2 linked regions of the Neodiprion lecontei genome follow. The protein of the gene in region 1 purifies or fractionates together with the protein of each later gene. This does not show direct contact. Links are inferred from orthologs where the notes say so. Each region holds a gene or a part of one and is shown in the gene's direction. Other genes may lie near its edges. The genes, in order: tRNA (adenine(58)-N(1))-methyltransferase non-catalytic subunit TRM6 and tRNA (adenine(58)-N(1))-methyltransferase catalytic subunit TRMT61A.

Region 1 (8,088 bases):
AAACACCGCAAATCAGGATTTCTTGTACTAGTTTATACAGTAATAGTCCACCATGACTACCGTGAATATTAAATCTGTATGGTCCATAACCCGGTGAAGTCATCACGTGAGGAAATGCCAGAATTGACCCGATAAAAGAAAAAGTGGCTAAAAAGAATGAAATTCTGACTCTCGTCAATTGCAGGATATTCCAAGAAGCCCAATTGAGCCAGTTACGAAATAAGTCTCTCTCAATTCTCTTCATTCTTTTCCCGTTTTCTGCCACCGAAATAGCTGTATAATAATTCTTATTGTCCGTGAATTTACATGTGTTAAAACCGAGAAACAATATTTCCAGATACTTAACCAATACCATGAGAATTGTATGTATATAAATACATCTTTCACGGTACAGCATTGAATTTGCAGTTACGTATAAAGAAATTTAATACCCTGCCGGTGACTCCAAATAATATCGGATCATTTAATGTTCTTGGTAACAAGGCAAGCCAGTATACAGCTTGTTCAATTAAATAATCTACATGTATATTATACATACGTACGGTTTTACAGGTATTAAAAACTTCGGACTCGGTATAGTACTAATTATAACTTCATCTCATGTTATTAATTAGTAAAATAAATAAGCTGTGAGATGTGTAACCTTCCGTTTACTCAGAAATGGTGAATAACTTTTTCTTGCATACCTTACGCGGATACAAATTCAGTTCGGCGTTAAAATTCGTTGGTTGCGATTAGTTGAGGCTTGTACTGATGAATAAGATTACGTCCTATACACTCCTATGTCAGCATCCGGTAATTAACTCGTTTTTTTAATCATCTAATGTATTTCTTCCAATTACCCAGTCCACAACATTTATTTTGGTATGTAGTGGCATTTATATATTGCCGTATATTTTATTTCTTTTTATTCTTCTATGATTCCAGTTCCAGTGCAAAGTAATTATTTTTAAACTTTCTTGATATTTTTCGGTAAACGTTTGGAAGCGCCTCATACAAATCCTAATCATCCTAATACAAATGTAATGATATTCAGGTAAACGAATGGTAGTTTTCAACCAATAATATTTTGATGACAATTGGATTTAATCCGATTTCAAACGGAGACTAGATCTTTACCGTATATCTTTTATTTCCTGCAGTGACATGATTAGTCGCAGAACTTATTAGATCAAATTGTTCAGAAGTATATAATTCAATCTATTTTTTCATACAAAGTTAATTCAGGCTTTCATGATTATAACACTTCTACTTTATTAATTTTTTTCCTTAGGCACCTTTATCACAGCTGTGTGTCAATTTGAAAAGAAGTTATTAGTTTTTTACATTTTACTTAAAACCGGTTACGGTGGATTTAACGAGTTTTTAATGTACACTGCTTAGTTCATGTAATAACTCTTAACGGGTACTAAACAACCGTTATAATGCTGAATCCGTAAACTCCGATCAATAGATTGTGATTTGAATCATAAGTATGTCGAATGAAAAAGTATAACTTGATTTCAGGAAAGGCCGGACGAAGAGTTGAGCAGTGGATTTTCATGGTGGCAGTAACGAACCTACTGTTATACAGCCTGAGATAACACCAAAGAACGTTCAGTTGATTTTACGCGTTTAAGTGTACTGGGAATGAAGAAGTAAATTGTTTGTAAAACTTTGAAAATAATTAAAAACCCTTTTGTTGAAACATTATCGTGTGTATGTTATTCGTGTAGATGTGTAGCACTGCCGGAAGAGCCGTGTAGTGGCATTGATTTAAATAATGTAACATACACCTACGCGCCATTAGACCGTCAAAAGCGAACAAATTTCTTCCTCAGATTAAGACGACGGGGTTTTTTTTCAAACAAAATGGATACGAACATTCCCTAGTTATACTGGCATTCGTCATCAAAATCGCCCAACACTCGTATACCCGTATATTTTCGCAGACCAAAAACAGGACTAGAAGTAAATCCGTTTTGAAATGTCAATTTATTTTTGTTGCATGATATGTTAATGTTAATTACATGTATATGCAATAAACAATGTAAAATACTACATATATGATATTAAATACATAAACTAGAAATATGTCACGCTGCACCGAGTGTACGCTGTGTGTCACGTGCAGAGTTTGTATAATAAAATATTCACATACAATCGAAAATAAATATCGATGTTACGTTTGTGTCAATTTGTAGTATTAACGTGAAAAAGAGTTATAGTCAGATAAAAAAATAAAGGTGGGAGGGGGCAGTGGATTTCACATGAAACATTCTTAATGAACGATGAAAAATATATTACAAGTATGTGAAATTTATCAATAACTGACGGCATTTTCACAGGAACTCCGTAAGAGCTTCCTGCGAGCTATGCATGCTGAGTTACAAAGGAGCTCAAAAGTTGCGCCGTGAGAGCTTCCTCAAAGCTGCTAAAAGTGTAGCTTCCTCAAAGCTCGCATGAAACTTTTCTTGCTCAAAAATTTCGGAGCGTTCTAGTAGTTCATCGAAATAAGTTCTCTGGGAACTTCGTTGGAGACTGTCTGAAGCACTATGTATGATCATTATATGGTAATTGTGAGTATTGTGACTACAGTCTGATAAAATGCTGTATTGATTAATTATTGTGACTTTTAATTTATTTATTCGAATACTCAATTCATTACTGAAATTCGCTTTTGCAGAAATTTAAAAATTACAACCTAATAAAAAACATTCATCAGGTCTAAATGGTTTTGGTAGAAAATACAAATCGTATCGATTATTTATTAAATTCAGTGTTGAATATATACGTCTAAAATGTCGTAGGAATTTTTTTAAACTAGATTTTTAATCGAAACCAATCCAAATGCAATAGGGTTCCTTTTTCAAAAGTAGACGCTGAGGAAGAAGGAAATGAAGTGAGTATAGAGAGAGAGATGATCCCCGGCTATTGATCATTTGGAACTAAAATAAAGCTTGCTCCTAGAAGTAGGCAATTATTTTCACATATGAAAAGTTGCCCATCTATCTCCAGGAGCTTGACACAAATTCAATGCAATTCACGCTTTACGTAAACCGTTTCCACTGATTGAGGGTAACAGTTAAACGTGATCAGGTTTAAAAAAGTGAAATCCGAGTATTTGTTATAATATCCCAATGAAGCTATCCTACCGCAAACGTTCTACAAATACGTCCGCAAATAAAATTTTAACTAATTATCAATGTAGATGTTTAAATATACCCGCCTTCAAATCTACAGGACTGCAGTCTTGAAATCGTTGGGTTAATAACATTGGCAGCGTCGACCCGAGCTTCGATTAGCCCATGGATTGGCCATTGAAGTCGATCTTGTCAGTAGTAGTTGGTAGTAGTCTGTACTCTGTGGTCGATCTGAGGTTACGCTACACCAACAGTTGACGTCTCGTTGGCCTCGCATTTGGAGGTTAAGGTAATCATTTCTCACGTGGATATCTGATTACCACGGACGATAGAAAATATAAACAAACTTCACATTACAGCTTGGAATTTGGTGTACCCAAAGTGCCACCACAATGAACGAGCTTGATGCAGAAGTTGTTAAAGTTGGAGACTATGTTGTCGTACAAAGACAGAATTACTACAAGCTCCATAAGGTGACGGCGAATGGAAATTTACTACTGGGTAAAGACCAGCTGGAGATGAGTAGTATAATTGGTAGACCAATGTGGACAACGTATAAAATGGAAGCAAAGGTGACTGGGAAGAGATTATACACTTTGCTGGAGACTAAAGAAGTTGAATCGCTATCGAAAGACTTGAAGAGTGTGTTACCCAGTGGGCTAGACAACAGAAGCATCATTGACGACGGAACGTCGCAACAGTTATCAACCGAAGATATTGTGGGATTAAGGGAAGCAGGGAAGTCGAGTAAAGAAATAGTTGGCAAACTGATAGAGAATAGCAAAACGTTTCAGAATAAAACTGAATATTCACAAGCCAAGTATTTGAAAAAAAAAGAAAAGAAATATTTTGAGTACATCACGATTAGAAAACCTACAATACGGCTAATTCAAGACATTTATTTTCGAATGGATCATCAGAAGATCAGCAGTCTGAGGATGGATACACTAGCTCAGCTCCTTTCTTATTCTGGTGTTAATGCTGATGGGCTCTATATGGTCTATGACAGTGGTTCTCAAGGGTTGCCCGCTTCAGCTATGCTTCATCGCATTGGCGCCGGAACAAATGGTAAACTAATTCACATGCATCCAGGAAATATTCCCCAAAGAACATTGATTCAAGCAATGAACTTTCCCGAGGAGCAGCTGCGTAGAATGCTTACTGTCAACATTTATAGTCTAATACGTATGTATTACCAGGGGACTGAACAATTTCTAGAAGTATCAAAGTACAAAGCAAAATCTGATACCCTGAACGTAGAATGCATTGTATTGGAATCCAATGACACTGACTTCACAGAAGATGTGGCAAATCCTAAAGTGCCCAAGGCTGAAGCTGAAGTAAAGGCAGAGGGGATTACAGAAGATAATTCAAGCAACAGAGCTGTGAACTCATTCGAAAGCAAAGGGTTGAAACGCAAGCTTAAAGATGCACCAAGTCACGAACCACCTAAAAAACCTAAATGGCTTATAGAAACACAAGAGGCTGTTGAGATTATGAAAGTAACTAAAGCTGACGGTCTAGCTATCATAGCTAAAGAACATCCACTTAATATAATCAAAGGTCTTCTGCCATTTTTAGGAATCTCTAGGCCATTTGTTATTTATCATTCATCTCGAGAACCATTACAGGAAACTTACGTTGCTTTGAAGCAAAGATCAGATGTTATTAATTTAAGGTTATTCGCCAACTTCTTACGGTCTCATCAAGTATTGCCAGATAGGACACATCCTGACATTTTAATGAGTGACACAGGTGGATATTTATTGTATGGATATTTAGTTGACTAAGCTTAACACATAAACTTCCACAATACACAGTGATCAAAACACAACACAGTTGTAGCACTTTTAGTGAAAATTTCAGGCTATTTTAAACCATATAGCATACGGCTGACAAAGTTGTAGAGAAAAACTTTCTCACGAAATAACAAACTGCAAATAAAATCAGTGATTTGATACAAGGTCCAAGTATAACAAAAGTTATTTTTGAGTATATTACAGTACCAATAATTTGTGCAAATCTTATTTGAAAATAGTTTTTGGAGAAATTTCCAGTGCTAGCTTCATGTAATTTAATAAGAATTCCATTCATTATATTAAATGACATACAATCAAGATGAACATTTCTTATAAAAGTATAAATATGCAAATTATATCAATTCGGATGAAGATATACGTTATTAGGCCAACTGCATCTTACAAATGAAATCCGTTGTATTGTTGACTTGGTAAAAATTTCAGAGCATTCAATAATCAATCTGCGAGAAAAATAAATTTTGTCAATCTATATGTAAAACTATATATTTGATCCTTGCGTAAATTGCAGGTAACGATATTGTTAATTAAATATCGATACGTTTCGTTAGAGATGCAGGGCTTGCCTGAGACCATACCTCCAATTTATTCCATTTTGTACCTAATGAGTATTTATCAACGCATCGTATGATTGTACTTTCAGTTGGTAATATCAGAATCTGCTGCAACCCTAATCGACCTACAGCGTTGACTGTAGATACCTATCGTATATCTGTCGTATATACATATTTGGACCCAGATTGGAAAGTGCATTTTACATCGTACAACGATATACCTATAATGCTGTTGGGAAGTGAAATTAATGCCGAAATTTGAATTCAAATATTTCCTTAATCCAAATACGAACTGGTCCGAAATTCCAATCCAATATCCATGTTATCATGCTGTGCTTGACTTGAATCATGTTTTAAACAGTTTTGAAACGAGTGTTGCGTGAGTGCATTACGAGTGCTTCAATATCTAAGTACAACATATTCACGCAGCCTTGCCCAAAAAATCGTTAATTCCCGCTTGGCAGCCGTTGGCGTTCAGTCGCGTTCAATCACGTTGGTATCCATGCTCTCTACCGTATCGTGCTTTCGCCAAAGCTCAAGCGACAAGCAATCAGGAAAAAGTGAACTGAGAGAAGAGGCTAGTGAATTATTGACAGTTTGATAAGCGGTATTATTTGGGCATTAGAAGCCACGATATAAGCAGTGATAATGAGGCCAGATTCGAGGAGTATCTCGTTCACATTTCACCGCTCGGCTTTAACCGCAAACAACACCTCAGACGAGCCGAAAGAGTCAAGAAATTTACGTCGAAGACTGCAGGATCGTTTTGACCAAGAATGCCCGTACAATTTGGCCAACAAAGAGTCACCTTCAAAAAAACGTACTTCCAAAAGTAGGGCTGGTTCCTTAACTCCCGAAAAAGGATGGAGTAATTTAAGCTTGAGTAACGTTTCGGCCGACTCAAGACGAGCCTTCAGAAATGGAGCTGAAAAATTATCCAAGACCATCTCTTCGGTTCGAATGACTTTTGGAACAATTTCTCAGGTTTGTGCGTGGTACTATAATATATCTGAATTCTTTGTAACTTGTCGTCCCTTTTTTAATAACTGCCTTTCAACACCTTTTACTTTTTACTTCATGATAGTAAAATACCACCTGCATGAAATTCAAACGATTGCTATAGCCATTGAATTAAAAATCTATTCAAGCATTTGTCTTTATATCTGTCTGTATCACTGTGCATTGGATTGTGATTTTTGTGGAACAAACAATAACATGCTCCTTTTTCTCTATCAAGAAATTTAGAAGTTCAACACGCAGGAGGCAACGTTTAGAGGAATGCCACTCCCCCACAATCTCTGCGACACCTCAAACTCGGTCTCGTCATCTGTTGGGCAGGACACCAACAAAACTCTACAGTCCATTTGGCATAGAGTCGCCAAGGTCTGCTTGGAGTAATTCACCTGGAAAAGAGAATGAGGATTCCAGTGCCATGCATAAACTTACCAACGTTGAACAAAAATTGCGCAAACCCTTTCAACTAACCAAAGCTAATGGCTTTACTACGTTCAGATAAATTCTGAAATCAATACATCTATCGCACAGATACTGATTACTAATTAGCACATTTTTTCACGTTTATTAATCCTTCAAAGGATAAAAATATTTCATTCCCAGCAAGATATATTGCTGAATGCTGCTACTTTTATTGTAAGATAATTGATGCCTTAACATTTTTTGATAATGCGAGCTTGTGTGATTTACATGTTTTATAGATAGCACGTCAGAGCTAATTAATGATCAATCTGATTACGACTGGTGAATTTACAACTAAATTTTTAAAAAAAGTCAAATTACGGCTTTATTGTTCAAAACACCGTCGAAAGTTATCATGCTGTTTCAAATCCAAATCATAATTTGCTATCCACAACTTGGACGTACATTGAAAAAATGAATCTTCACTGCCTAATTGATATTGACGATAACTTATTTCACAACAAGTCTATGTTTTAAGTCTCACTCAATGGAAAAAGCATTCGTGACAAAGGAACTAAGAAAGGATGGAAAATATCGGTTTCTGATATTTGAACCGACTGTAGCTGTTTTACAATTTCTTGTTCAAAATGATCATCGCAGGGGGACATGATTATAATTTACGATTAAAAATCGTGTATCTCTTCTATATACCAATTAATTATTCCTTCCGTTAAATTTGCGTTGACGATTCCGATATTGATTGAAATTAAACTTGAACTTGTCATCCCTCCAAATTGTACTGTAATGATAAGACTTGAGCAGCATATTGTATAAACCCCCTGCCTTGTATTGTATTTTCAGTATTTATTGTTCGTAAGACAAATGAAACAGCCAACTGTGTTGGCTTATAAATGAAAAAAAAATCCTATTAATTTAATATTTAAAGTACTACTTAATTTAGTAATTAAATAATAACTCATAACGTATTGACAACTATGTTGGAATTAAGAAGTAACATATTTATCTAAATGATAGTTTTAGATATTTTGTCTTGATCGATTCAGGATCAACTTAATCTCAGCGTATATCTTGTAGCTTTTTCACTCACTATGCCTGGTAGAGGCTATTTTTTCTACAAGTATATCCTGGACCATTGGGTGCATATGATGCAAACCATTT
Region 2 (7,343 bases), on another chromosome or scaffold:
AACGTTAAAAAATAATTACATTTGTACTCACCTTACGTAACTGAGACCTAATGAATGGTGGAAAGCTCACCCACGTCAATACAGACACAAAAATCATGACACCTGCGCCAATGCCCAACTTGATTGGTAACCGCATCTTACTGTTGATTTCACTATAAATGCAAACAACAACTTTGTATGCAAGAAAATGATGATCAAGAAAAAAGAAAATTCGAACAAAACCGGAGCTTGGGTTGGACTTGGGAATAATTCTTATCCCGCGTAAAGCTGTCTCATTTATTTTTCAGTTACCACACAATAATGGTAATTTGAAAAATATGAGAAATAGAAATTTAGAACGTTTTTTTCATATCCAATTTGCTGTGAGATATTCCTGCGGCAAAGGAAAATAAAATTGTCTTAAGCTGTTTGGAAATTCTAAAAGAAATAAGTCGTGACGGTAAAATTCGAAGAACAAAAAGAAAAACCTACAACAATTATTAAACCCGCCTCATGTATAAATATTTTATTGCATAAAATTTCACCAAAGAAATTTAAAGAATGCAGTAAATCACTGCAAATAGGAAATAGTGGATAAGCCAAATTGAAATTACCTAAGAAAGAACCAAACTAATCTCGCTACAGATCTCGGACGACGCAGAGCGCCTTTGATGGACGCTTGAGGATAAATGGTGAAGAACTGTCAGTAACGACGGGCGTCAAGTAAGTGTTTCACACTTCTCATTCCTCTTTGTCAAACGGAAAAGTAAATTTGTTGCATCGCGCAGGCGCTTCGGCAGAATAGTCAACAAAGTTTGCAATGTTTTCGTTACGGCGTCGGACGATATACTTTGTTATAGCCATTTATTTATTATTTATGATTTGGTTCAGCCATGATATTGAACGATTAATCCTAAATAAAATACGACCTGCAAAAATATTCCAGTCACACGCACATGGAGTCTTGTAATATTTTAATTCTGGATGGCTTCTTTATGGGGTAAATTTGCAAAATTCCAGTCGAACTTCCGCAACGTACAGTTGACCAGAATCGCAAAATGTCTGTCTATCGCCACCTCGGAAGACTGATTTAATTCCGTGACTTCTTGTTACGAACCGAACTACGCATCTCTGAATGAAAAAACTGACTGATCTCATGCTTCGTGAATACTGATATTAACGAGTCTCGATAGCAATGCAAGACCGTCTTCAAGACACGAGATCATATCTTATGGATCCGCGGACGTATCTTGGGTGTTAAATGCGGCTGATATCGAACGATAGTGCTGCAGAAAAGTTTATGAAATATGGATGAACCGGATACCTTATAGCCAAGACGATTATGTGCAATTGGCGGTAGTGATTCGCATATCGGATCGTACGTTTTCTATCTAAGAATAAGTATGTGAGCTTCGACCTGGGTGAACACCAAGTTCTCGGAGTAATGGAAGTAAATGCTCTATCTTATACTCCTCCGTTCCGTACAGAAGATGTCCTGAATTTTTCTGAAGATATGCAATAAATACTTTGCAGATGTTATAAATAAATTATTTCCTACGATTTACAAAATATGACACAGATGTTAGGAAATTTACTGATTCTTTCTGAGAAGGTTCCGATATTCTAGGAAAAACTACTTTGTGAAGACTATACTTTGTAGCAGAACCGATTTCGAGGGGAGAGGGGAAATGAAAAGACAAAAGGGGTTGTGCAAGATCTTCAAATGAATAAAAATTTTCCACTTCAGGGACTTCAATGGCGGAAATTGTACAAACGCTCTGAACTATAGACACCTTCAGAATGACTTCAACTTTTCCAGCTATCAAATTAACTGATCGATCTCATAGATTTTAAATCATGAACTTCTAGTTTGCATTAAAATTTTTATATGAACGAGCTTAAATACTTCATAGTTCGATCTTATAGTTCTGTGGTCGTAATCAGTTGTGGCATACTTTCCACTATAAGTGAAGATCAACGGTGGCTATATGACATGACACGACTTGGTTCGATTATTCACAATCAACGACTTGGAACAAATAAACTATTGTATTTTTAAAGAATAGAAAAAATTATTAACCCGGTATTAACACGTAAGTGGTTCGAGAATTAAATTAATGATATATACTGCTGAGTTAATAATTGCAAGTGTAAATATCGGGGTTCAGGAATATTCCTAGCCACGTAATCTTACTCTAAGGTGTGAAATTACCCAGGCCTCTACATCGGCCTTGGACTAATCTTGCTGCACCCTTGCAACGCTGAAGGTGTCGCATTAAAAATTCACGTGAGACGTTCCAGCAAATCCATTTCATGGCACCTTAGTTTTAAACTATAGCTTCTGTTGAACTTGGGAAAACTGTTTATTCTTCACGGTCGAAGAAAATTGATGTCAATTTTATATAGAGCTAGTTCCATTTGCCTTTCAGAATTGATGATTCCTTGTCAGTTTTTTTTTTTTTCCAAAAACCAATGTTATCATCTTGTGAATTTTTATTTCATATTTTACGCTGTTAAAGATATTCGATGTATCTTCAAGTTCATCTTCACGTATGTACGAGATGGTGGAAGTTTGACATTTTTTTGAATTTCTACCAAATTATGGGGTAGTAAACACAATTTGGCATTTTATATTCAAATCGGGGCGTTGATGGTCGAAACGGTGTTTTACTCAGTGAAGGAACATAGATTGAAACATCTTGAAATAATGTTCAGGAATCTAAATTTCACAAGAAAACAAATAGCATGAGGCAAGAGGCAATCCGAATTAATGGTCTTATTGTTTCAAATCTGTAATTATGGTTTTCTTTTGATTCAATTCTGACGCAATTTGATTTTTCTCCAATCAGTCATATACAATTTCATCTTTATCCATTCCTATGAGATTCTTAAGTACATATATGAAAAAATGAAACAATCCAGCTCAATTTATCACAATTAAACATAAAAAACATCAAATGGGTAAAAATCACTGTAAAAGTTTCGCTCGACTTAGAAAACCCTTTTTGAAGTTATGAAAACTTGGGAAATATTACATATATTTTGATGCAGATATAGCTTGTCTAGCGCTAACATGATGAGTTTGAAGTTTGATTCACTTACAAGTGAACTTCATACAGTTTATACAATATTTTATTATTAAAGCAATTAAAAAAATGTTTTCAAAACTTTGACATTATCTTCATCAAAGGCGCTTAACTGATGATCAAGACTTACCGAAGAAGTACACAACGCCGCCGGTAAGAACGAATTGGGCACAGGCCAGGATCATGTCCAGTCGATAATAAAGATCGCCACAACGTTGTAATCGTAGCTTAACTCACTCTTGATCAATATAGTTTCGATACCTAAACTGTCAATAGACATCATCAGGAGTCATTTCGAAAATTCTTCATCACCGCGGATAGCCCAAGTCTCTTCAACGCGGTGACTTCATCAACATAACCTCAAAAGCGGCACGTAACCAGCACACAATTTTGCTATCAGAATACTTCCAAGATACACGTGATTTTGAGAATTTGCATTCCTGGGTGTATGGCAGATAAAAAGGGTAAGGCAACAGAAATCCGTTGACAAATAGTCAATGTTCATAATAATACACACTAGAGGACCAATTCTATTCCTCTCTAATCCTCGTTGCTATTGCAGGCATCTACAGGCGCTCAAATACCTCAGCGAAGCAATCCCACGATGAGTTTCAACGGGTCTAAGGATCTCGTCGAGGAGGGTGACGTAGTGATCTTGTATATTGCGCCATCCAACATGCATTCCTTGGAAGTGACTCCGAAGACATTGAATAAGAAAGGCATTTTGGTTGAAAATGTATTTCAAACTGTTTACGGAGCTCTCAAAGTTGCCTCCTTGGTTGGCGCTAAATACGGTGCCAAGGTGGACCTATCAAGGGGGTGGGCCTACGTCTTACAGCCTACTTCAGACCTCTGGACATTGACTCTGCCGCATAGGACTCAAATAATTTATACACCAGACATTAGTAACATAGTTTACCTGATGGAACTCGAACCTGGAGACACTGTGATAGAAACAGGTTCGGAAATTCAGTGTACCACACATTAATATGAATATCTTCATGATTTTTACTACATTCCAACAAATTTTCATACCCCAAACTTTGTTAAACAGGAACGGGAAGTGGTTCCTTGTCGCATGCTTTGATCAATGCAATAAAACCTCACGGTCATTTGTACACCTTTGATTTTCACGAACAACGAGTATCTGTGGCTGACATCGAGTTTAAAAAGCATGGATTAGAACGCTACGTTACTGTCGAACAGAGAGACGTTTGTCAGACAGGATTCGGAGATGCATTAGAAGGCAAAGCCAATGCTATATTTCTTGACTTACCACATCCATGGTTAACCATTGAACATGCAACGAGATGTTTTCGGAAATCAGGTAAGTTTTAACTTTGCTTGTGTTACCTAGGTAAAAATTTTACTGAAAAATGTTTATTAAGACACGTAAAAATTTAAAACACCTTTCCTTTTTCAGGTGGTAGACTCTGTTCCTTTTCGCCATGCATAGAACAGGTTCAAAGAACATGTGAAAAACTCATGTCTGCTGGATTTATAGAAATAAAAACAATCGAGTGTCTGCAACGGGAATTGACTGTACAATACAAAACTGTACCAGTATTGAAACTAGAATGTTTAAAAAGCAAGGTATGCAGATCATGTACAAAAAACAAGTCTCAAAAAAATTAATCAATTCAATTGATTATTAGTAATCAATTTTATTTCAAATGGTAAATTAGATGTCAATGTAAAAAGTAGAAAATTGATTGAAGCAGTATAAAATCGTAAATTGATTGAGAATTCTTTTTGACGTTAAAATTTTTCTGCCATGTTGAGTAGCGTAAAAATATCAATGTATAACATATACCAATTACTCGTTTCTTTTGCTGCAGCATACCGATGATAACAGAAACGAAAATAATGGCAAAGAGGTGGGAGGACTGGAAAGATTAGTAACTGTTTCGCACGCGCACTCGCTGCCAGGGCACACTGGATACATTACGATTGCTACGCTGCCGCCAATCGGAAGAAGGAGTTGTTAGTTAACCGACAATAAATATTTCCTTTGATAATAACACCAACCATATTTTTTCAAATTTTTCAATACCTACTTTCTATTCCACTCCAAAGATTTCATCAGTTAGATATTCACTGTTCAACAGCTAACAACTACATTCATAGCAGTTTTATACACATGTATGCAAGAGTAAAATTTTATTACCAACGATACGTCGTTTTAGTATTTTTTCTTCATGTACTCTATATTTTTTGACCCTATATTGTACTCAAGGGTGAAATTTTGTACACTGAAAATTCGTCATTTCAAACAATATTCAATGTTGAAACGATTTTGCAAAATTGTTAGGATTCACTTTACAATACAACATACATGATTAAAAAGCTTTTGATTTATTTGTCAAGTGCAAAGCATTGAAAGCCCCATTAGAGCTGAACTCGCATAAGCAGATAACACAAATTCTTTTCAACGAACAATGTAAACGTTTCTCTGTTAGATTGGGACCGAGAAAATCAGCAGACGCTGAGTTGCGCTACTGTGAATATTATTAAAAGTTTAATAAAAAATAGATGTATCTACACGGCGTAATGGTAAATATGGCGTGCCGCGGAGTATTTCGCTATTTATGGCATACAATTCATCAACTAAAATTGAAAACATCAACTTCGCGGTAGAATTGAAAAATGTATACACAGTTTCTTCTGAAGTTAATACCTCAATCATTTCAAGAGCTTCGTCAAAATCACAGCGATGTTTAAATGTGCGAATTAAAACTTTGTCCGTCAAAGCAGCTCCACCGAGGCTTTAAGCATGCGTTTCGCAGTCAGCACGTTTTGTGAGATGACAGCATAGTTTTGGTGTCTTTTAGGCAATATGATAGTCTTAAATTTATTCGCTTTTCACGGGGCTCCACGTGAGGTAATCCGGCCTCGTAGCAGCCTGGTATTCCTTTACAAGGTCCTCAACCACTTGTCGCGAATGATCGAGCTCGTCCAAATTATCTTCGAACATTTTTTCCTTACGAAATTGTTCCAAAAAAGCTTCTCGTTTGCGTAGCTTATCGTACTGTTGAAGTGCGCGATCAAAAAGCTATAAGTAAAAAAATTACTTCTATATTTTAGGTCTCCCTGAAAGTCGTGCGTTTCCTAAACCGAAGAGACGAAGATTTTCGATATACAGAAAAGAAAAATGGATACGAGAGGAGAATGCTATACGTACCGACGATATGTTAGTATGGTTTGCCAACATGAGTCCAGAGACTCTATGGGTGCTCTGAATGTATGGAGACTTCCTTGAGAGCGCGACTTGGATGCTAGCTGGTCCCCAGGGTATAAATTGCGCAAGTTTTCTCTCTCTAATTCTTTGGAGAGATTTGTGAACTTGTGTAGGGTCTACTTCTCCCTGTGAAAAATGATCGAATTGATGGATCAGAAGAGATGAGCAGAATGCCAAAAAAACAAAGTAGATTCATTAAGTTACGTATTTCAGAAATTTATTATCATCTCCTGACCTGGATGATATTTAATATGGAAATATAACAGTGCGCCGCATTCCGATCCAGAGCTGTGGATACCATCATGTTTTTGGGCTGCAATAATCGTCGCATCACGTCCAAAACCGAGGTTTTTCGAACTGAGGCTCCCTGTTTCAGGAAAAATAACGTTACTGCTTCACTGGTATACCAGAAAACTAGTTTTATAAGTATTAACATACCTCTTGATCGGTTGTGAGTGGCGTGTAGCCTGTCATCAGGAAATGTAGTCTTGGCGTTGGTATAAGAGGTGCAATTAAACCAACCAGATCATTGTTCATGTACGAGGGATACCTGATAATATCATAAGTTCATTTGAGATGAATAACAATACTCAGACACCAGAGCAGTAAACGGAAATATTTCATTCAAACAAACATCGACAAAATTTTGTCTTATATGACGATGGAAACTTGACAATTTTGCGGCAATAAAACTGAGTCAAAGAAATATTCCAGTATGTGGACAAATCTCGGAACCCGGCAACGACAAGTTGAGATGAATATTTTGAACTTGCCTCAAAGTAGTCGTGCTAACTGACATGATGGTGGACACGAGTTTGTTGATTTGCGTGAAGCTTGGATTTTGTATGTGGAGACGATCTGAGGCGATTCTGTTCAAAGCCGTGTTATCAAGAACAACAACGCAGTCTGCGCATTGTGTCAACCTCTTCAGAGTAAGCAACGAATTGTACGGTTGCACGACGACATCACTGTGTCAAGACAAAGAAAGTTGATGTGAAAACATTAGAGCCTTGGTAAGTTTAACTTTGAAATTTGTAGTG

The links.
Region 2: the proteins of tRNA (adenine(58)-N(1))-methyltransferase non-catalytic subunit TRM6 (region 1) and tRNA (adenine(58)-N(1))-methyltransferase catalytic subunit TRMT61A purify together in Homo sapiens (affinity purification with mass spectrometry; 4 studies listed by BioGRID and IntAct, counting the BioPlex papers as one, with this or other methods). This does not show direct contact. The link is inferred for Neodiprion lecontei from reciprocal best matches to the Homo sapiens genes TRMT6 and TRMT61A.

Annotation. Positions count from the first base shown.
Region 1 is NC_060262.1:31,290,376-31,298,463, reverse strand, and holds tRNA (adenine(58)-N(1))-methyltransferase non-catalytic subunit TRM6, read left to right. Parts: upstream 1-3,030; 5' UTR 3,031-3,411; intron 3,412-3,481; 5' UTR 3,482-3,514; coding exon 3,515-4,912; 3' UTR 4,913-5,277; downstream 5,278-8,088. Other genes in the region: uncharacterized protein LOC107225853, read left to right, coding at 1,507-1,583; uncharacterized protein LOC107225851, read left to right, coding at 6,142-6,477, 6,731-7,009. UniProt on the Homo sapiens protein: Substrate-binding subunit of tRNA (adenine-N(1)-)-methyltransferase, which catalyzes the formation of N(1)-methyladenine at position 58 (m1A58) in initiator methionyl-tRNA.
Region 2 is NC_060264.1:31,855,867-31,863,209, forward strand, and holds tRNA (adenine(58)-N(1))-methyltransferase catalytic subunit TRMT61A, read left to right. Parts: upstream 1-3,224; 5' UTR 3,225-3,529; intron 3,530-3,627; 5' UTR 3,628-3,669; coding exon 3,670-4,024; intron 4,025-4,119; coding exon 4,120-4,392; intron 4,393-4,488; coding exon 4,489-4,658; intron 4,659-4,903; coding exon 4,904-5,053; 3' UTR 5,054-5,092; downstream 5,093-7,343. Other genes in the region: sensory neuron membrane protein 1, read right to left, coding at 32-136; tubulin gamma-2 chain, read right to left, coding at 5,917-6,117, 6,247-6,429, 6,539-6,670, 6,742-6,853, 7,077-7,271. UniProt on the Homo sapiens protein: Catalytic subunit of tRNA (adenine-N(1)-)-methyltransferase, which catalyzes the formation of N(1)-methyladenine at position 58 (m1A58) in initiator methionyl-tRNA.